Linked DNA regions of Solanum lycopersicum. The protein of the gene in region 1 interacts with the protein of each later gene in a biochemical or structural test. Links are inferred from orthologs where the notes say so. Each region holds a gene or a part of one and is shown in the gene's direction. Other genes may lie near its edges.

The links.
Region 2: the proteins of EIN2 (region 1) and ETR1 form a complex in vitro, tested with the Arabidopsis thaliana proteins (2 studies listed by BioGRID). The link is inferred for Solanum lycopersicum from reciprocal best matches to the Arabidopsis thaliana genes EIN2 and ETR1.

The regions. Positions count from the first base shown.
Region 1 is NC_090808.1:1,899,666-1,902,877, forward strand, and holds the end of EIN2 (ethylene-insensitive protein 2), read left to right. Parts: coding exon 1-1,392; intron 1,393-1,852; coding exon 1,853-2,251; 3' UTR 2,252-2,509; downstream 2,510-3,212. UniProt on the Arabidopsis thaliana protein: Central factor in signaling pathways regulated by ethylene (ET) and involved in various processes including development, plant defense, senescence, nucleotide sugar flux, and tropisms.
Region 2 is NC_090811.1:4,583,194-4,587,022, forward strand, and holds part of ETR1 (ethylene receptor 1), read left to right. Parts: intron 1-198; coding exon 199-567; intron 568-709; coding exon 710-976; intron 977-1,106; coding exon 1,107-1,234; intron 1,235-1,377; coding exon 1,378-1,575; intron 1,576-3,532; coding exon 3,533-3,829. UniProt on the Arabidopsis thaliana protein: Ethylene receptor related to bacterial two-component regulators. Acts as a redundant negative regulator of ethylene signaling.

The DNA.
Region 1 (3,212 bases):
CCTGCATCATTAAAAGTTGAAAGCAGTGCGTATATTCCATCGGGGAGTGCAAGGATACCAGAGCCTCTGATCAACTCGCATGTGTACTCTCCCAAGCAGCAATTTGCGTCTAACATTGTGGACTCTGCTTATAGAGTCCCAAAGGAGCCATCTTCGACATCTTCTATGTGGTCTAACCATATGAAATTAGTAGGTGCATATGTGCAAAGTTCCAACAGCAACATGCTTGACTCAGGGGAGAGGCGCTATTCTAGTATGCGGATTCCAGCGACTTCTGCTGGCTATGATCAGCAGCCTGCCACTGTGCATGGATATCAGATTACTGCTTACCTTAATCAACTTGCGAAAGAAAGAGGATCTGATTATTTAAATGGGCAACTGGAGTCACCATCTCCTCGTTCTGTATCATCACTGACGTCAAACTATGCAGAACCATTGGCTCGTGTTTCGGGGCAAAAACCTCAGAGTGGAGTCAGTAGTCGAGCACCACCTGGTTTTGGAAATGTCCCTGTAGGCCGAAATAATTCGATGCAGCCCACTAACACTACTTCTGTCGACCATAGCTCTACTGAAACTGCTGAAAGCGTGGCTGGTTCAGCCAACTCTAAGAAGTACTACAGCTTGCCTGATATCTCAGGGCGCTATGTTCCTCGCCAAGATTCTATAGTGTCAGATGCGAGAGCTCAATGGTACAATTCCATGGGATTCGGACAATCTGGTGGTCGATCTACATACGAACAAGCCTATATGAGTGGTTCACTAAGGGCAGGTGGTCCTCAGAGGTATGAACATTCTCCTAAAGTCTGCAGAGATGCATTCTCCTTGCAGTACAGCTCCAATTCAGGGAATGGATCCCTGTGGTCTAGACAGCCTTTTGAGCAATTTGGTGTAGCTGGTAAGCCAGATGTTGGTAGCGGCGATCATGGAACTGTGCTGAGTTCCTCTGCTCAAGAGAGTACATCTACGGTTGACTTGGAAGCTAAGCTGCTTCAGTCTTTCAGAAGTTGTATTGTGAAACTTTTGAAACTGGAAGGATCTGAGTGGTTATTTAGGCAAGATGATGGGGCTGATGAGGATCTTATAGGTCGGATTGCTGCAAGAGAGAAATTTCTCTATGAAGCTGAAACTAGGGAGATAAGTAGATTGACCAACATTGGTGAATCACACTTCTCTTCCAACAGGAAACCCGGTTCTGCCCCAAAACCTGAAGAGATGGATTACACCAAGTTCTTGGTGATGTCAGTTCCCCACTGCGGAGAAGGTTGTGTTTGGAAAGTAGATCTGATTATAAGCTTCGGTGTGTGGTGCATTCACAGAATTCTTGAGCTTTCACTTATGGAAAGTAGGCCAGAGTTGTGGGGCAAATATACCTATGTTCTCAACCGTCTTCAGGTAAAGCCTCATATCCTATCTATCTTTTTCTTCATTCACAGAATTCTTGAAGTTCTATGTTTCTTTCAATAATTTTTTTTTGAGCATTGGAGAAATGAAGCATGCTTTTTGGTGTTACCACACAATCCTTCATGAAAACCCTCTTTAAAGCTTATATCACATCATTTAAGGTTTAAATAAACCGCATTTGTGTTAGATTCATTGTTGGACCTTGTAGCGTGCCAAAAAAGATATTGTAGTGACTATCCTGGTCCTTCCATTTTAAGGTGGCTAAACAAGTGCTAAAAGCATCAAAGACGCCACAAAACCGTAAGCTAGGGGTCATTTGTTTGAAATTTTCCTTTCTCGGAACAGCGGGAAAGAGTAATAGTTGAGTTGGTCTTGATGCTCAAGAAATGGCAATGTGTCAACCGTAGTGTGAGATTTATTATTCATCTGATGAATCATTTACCAACTTCAGGGCATAGTAGATCTGGCATTTTCAAAGCCCCATTCTCCGACGAGCCATTGTTTTTGTCTTCAAATTCCGGCTGGCCGCCAGCAAAAGGCAAGCCCCCCTCCAATTTCTAATGGAAACTTGCCGCCACAAGCAAAACAGGGTCGAGGAAAATGCACGACTGCAGCAATGCTCTTAGAGATGATCAAAGACGTGGAGACAGCAATTTCCTGTCGAAAGGGACGAACGGGCACTGCAGCAGGGGATGTAGCCTTTCCTAAAGGAAAAGAGAACCTGGCATCCGTCCTCAAGCGCTATAAACGTCGATTATCCAATAAGCCGGTAGGAAACCAGGAGGTGGCTGGAGTCGCCGGACCGCGCAAAGTAACGCTGTCTGCCTCATCACCCCCTTTCGTCTTGTAACGCTCTTTTCTCAGTTCATAGCAAATGACTGGTGAGATCACCATTGTTAGACTTGTTCTTAGTTTCTGTGAATTATCCCCCCCTCCCCAACTATACCTCCCTTGCACCTCATGTGTATTTTGAATCTTTGCAGCTTATTCACCCCCATCCCTTGTACCTCAATCTGTATACATAGGATAAAATGTTGTAACGAGGTTACTGTAAAACTGCAATGGTGAAATGAAACGGGCTAAAAGGCGGGAAAAGATGTTATTACAAGATATGCAGTTTTCTTGCTTTTTGTTTCCATAGTGCCATCTTGAACCAATGGAAACAACCTCTACCTCTGAATTACTTTTAATATCAAAAGGTTGTTGTTATATTACTACTTTCCTTGATCCGAGGGTCTATCAGAAACCACCTCGTCCTCTAAGCTCTGAGGTAGGCATAAGAAACCACTTGGTCCTCTAGTTCCGAGGTAAGCGTAAGTTAAACGTTTCAAACTCATTATGTGGGACTACACGGGGTATGTGTTGTGTTGTAGTTTGCACTTTATCGCGCAAGAGGGGAAAGTGCTACGTAATAGGTGTTTTTCTTACTTAGGGTTTGAGCTCGTCACATTTTATTTAACTAAAGATTCTTAGTGATTCCATCGCAACTCATTATTGGTTGTTAGAGGAGAATAATACTTCTCTCGACATAATATGAGAAACTTTGTGTTCTCAAAATATGTAAATAACTTTTGTGTGATTAATTTTTTGTGACATAATATGAGAAACTTTGTGTTCTCAAAATATGTAAATAACTTTTTGTGATTAATTTTTTGTTTTTTTTTAGATTTGTGACCTAATTGCAATAAAAGGAGTATAAAGATCAAAAAGGATGAATGTGAATGGCTAGAAGAGGACAACCATATTCCAATAAAAAAACTCTTTATCCTTATCTTTAGTTGAAATTATTGTCATCGTTATAGGTTCAATAA
Region 2 (3,829 bases), on another chromosome or scaffold:
GAGAAAACTCTGAATATTGGTATCCACCTCCTTTCTCCTAATTTAGGATGCTCTATTTCTAGACATATAGGGGAATACTCTATTCTAGTGGTCGGTGTCTGGTTGCAACTAGTTTTAGATGTTTATATGTCTTATTTGATTTAATAAGAGCTATCCTTGAGTGCCCAATGTGATTTAATCTACGCTTCGGCATTTCAGGTTGCTGTTGCTCTTTCACATGCTGCTATATTAGAAGAATCAATGAGGGCTAGGGATCTTCTTATGGAGCAGAATGTGGCTCTTGATCTGGCAAGAAGAGAAGCAGAAATGGCTGTTCGTGCACGTAATGATTTCTTGGCTGTTATGAATCATGAAATGAGAACTCCCATGCATGCAATAATTGCACTTTCTTCCTTACTACAAGAAACTGATCTAACTCCAGAGCAACGTCTGATGGTTGAAACAATCCTCAAAAGCAGCAACCTTTTAGCAACGCTCATCAACGATGTCTTGGATCTTTCAAGGCTAGAGGATGGAAGTCTTCAACTTGATATTGGCACTTTCAATCTCCATGCTTTATTTAGAGAGGTGCCCTTCATCACCCTCTTTTCTTTTTTACTTGCAAATTCTAGATTACCTGTCAGGAAAAAAAGTGTCATTACAGATATTTTGCACTTCAATATGTTTGCTGGACCTGCTGACTGATATATGTGTCTGCTTATTCCTGTAGGTCCATAGCTTAATCAAGCCTATTGCATCTGTGAAAAAGCTGTTCGTCACACTTAGTTTGTCGTCAGATTTGCCGGAATATGTAATTGGGGATGAAAAACGGTTAATGCAAATTCTCTTAAACGTTGTTGGCAATGCTGTAAAGTTCTCAAAGGAAGGCAACGTATCAATCTCCGCTTTTGTTGCAAAATCAGACTCTTTAAGAGATCCTAGAGCCCCTGAATTTTTTGCTGTGCCTAGTGAAAATCACTTCTATTTACGGGTGCAGGTATATTTTTACAAGCTTGATATACTATCTTCGTAGGTTAAGGATAGTCACAAATATGATATTTTAGACTTATAACTGTCAGATGTTCTGTTCTTGATATTTGTAATATTCTAAGTAATACTTTCTGTAGATAAAAGATACGGGGATAGGAATTACACCACAGGATATTCCCAACCTGTTTAGCAAGTTTACACAAAGCCAAGCGCTAGCAACTACAAATTCTGGTGGCACTGGGCTTGGTCTTGCAATTTGTAAGAGGTACGGGGTACCCAGTTCCTTAGTGTTCTTTTTCCGACTCTGATTTTCATTTTGCTACGTGAACTTGGTAACTGCTTCATATTCAATTTCTTTCCTCTTACTGTATTTAGTATTGACACATCTTCTGATGGGACACAAAACAGGTTTGTGAATCTTATGGAAGGACATATTTGGATTGAAAGTGAAGGTCTTGGCAAGGGGTCTACTGCTATATTTATCATTAAACTTGGCATTCCTGGACGTGCAAATGAATCTAAGCTCCCCTTTGTGACCAAATTGCCAGCAAATCACACGCAGATGAGTTTTCAAGGATTAAAGGTTTTGGTGATGGATGAGAATGGGTGAGTACTATCTGGACCCCTTTATCCTCAGCTCTTGTCTTGCCATGCTGTTTAATGATCCATCTAGTTCGTGAGTTTCTCATCTTATATGTATTGAGCTGTCTTACTCACTTTTACATGAGACTGAACAAGTAAATACTTAATAAGAGAGTACTGAAATTAGAATCTTTACAACTATATGTGGATGTGCTGGTGACATGTACTTAGGAGTATATGCCTTTTTCTAGGGCTAACCCATCGGTGGCCCCCTAAAGTTGGCATCAACTTTCACTTAGACACCTGAACTAGACTTTGTTCATTTTTGACATCTCATGTGAGGCTCTGATGTATCATTTAACACTTTTTGCTTTTTGCTGATATGGCATAGTGAGTGTGACTCACTCATTAACAGCGCGTCAGACTCTTTTTCAGCCAATTTTTATTTTATATTTCCTTCTTCTTCCCCATTTTTTCAACCACCATTTTCTCAAGTTTGAACTTCTTCCATGGTGAGATATATTCGATGATGCCACAAACGAGGAATCTAATTTCAAATGTCAGAGCTTTCTCCAAGATTTCCCAAGGATGATGCCCTTCTTCCTCAATTTAATTTGAGGGAAAAAGACTGAAATTTGAAGAAAAAAAAAGAAATTTGGGGAAGAATAAAAAATCATTAAAAAATGAGATAATCTCCTTAAAAGAAACTTAATAATGTGATATGAACACGTACACATTTGTATTTTTAGAAGTTCATTGGATCTTAGATTTTTTCTTTTTTAAGCAATAAAATCTGTAGAATTTTCTTTTAGCAATAAAATTTGCGGAGCTGCAATTATTTGAAAAAATTTGAGTTACACAAGTTCACTGAAGGGGTGTGTGCAGTGAGAAGACCATGAATGGGGTGGGGTTGGGGTGGGATATGCTTCTCCTAAAGATTTTTTAAGGTGATTTAATCCTTTTTAATATTATTTGGGAAGAAATGCCACGTGTCATCGATCCATTAGCCAATTTTTCTAAAAAAATAATAGATAGTTTATTATTTTGAAGAGAACGACAAGTGTCCTCATTTAATTTGACACTTTACACATCATCCGCGAGTGGAACACACTCACCATCATATTTTTGTTGAATGTAAAAAAAGTGCTAAATGACGCATCAGGGCCTCACATGAGGTGTCTAAAATGAACAAAGTCTAGTTCAGGTGTCTAAGTGAAAGTTAATGCCAACTTTAGGGGGCCACCGTTGGGTTAGCTGCTTTTTCTAATGAAAAGAAGGAAAAGTTAAGGATTTACAGTGTCAGGATCGCGAGAAGGGAAGGAGAGATCACCAGCCTGACCCTAGGAGCTCACATCTTTATCAGAGTATATGCCTTTTTTCTAATGAAAAGAAGGAAAAGTTTAGCATTTACGGTATCAGGATCGCGAAGAGGGAAGGAGAGATGACCAGCCTGACTGTAGGAGCTCACATCATTATCTCTAATTGGAAGAAGGAAGTGACCAACTGGAAGTAGTGCTTTCAAATCCAATAAAAGGGTATACTGCTCTTCCAGAAATAAGAGGATGGAGGAAAGAGTGACTTCATAGATGTCTTAATACAAGTCTTTGCTATGTATGCATCGAATTAAAAATGTCAGTCAATCTGGTTCGCCTTAGTATATATATATATATATATATATATATATATATATATATAACAGTAACAGATTCCCTTTTCTCTTATCCTTTTATCGTCCCACCGCACCCCTGCCTTCCACACCGCTATTGATATCTTTAACCTGAGGTATTATAAATTGAACGCAGTTGTTTTATTGTCGGATAAGAATTTGTATGATTGGTAATCCTACGACTCTGTGATCGTTGCTTTTCTCTTTTTGATGTGACCTCATTATTATTATTTTTATTATTTATCCTACCTGATTATATGATTAGTTGACATTAGTTATCAGAATTGTTTTTGTTTCTTATACTCCTTCATGCAGTGTTAGCAGGATGGTAACCAAAGGTCTGCTTACACACCTTGGATGTGATGTAACTACTGTTGGCTCACGCGATGAGTGCTTGAGAGTTGTTACACATGAACACAAGGTAGTTATCATGGATGTCAGCATGCAAGGTATAGACTGTTACGAAGTTGCTGTAGTGATACATGAAAGGTTTGGGAAACGTCACGGTAGGCCACTTATTGTGGCATTAACGGGGAACACAGACAGAGTTACGAAAGAAAACTGCATGAGAGTTGGTATGGATGGAGTTATCCTAAAACCTGTGTCAGTGTA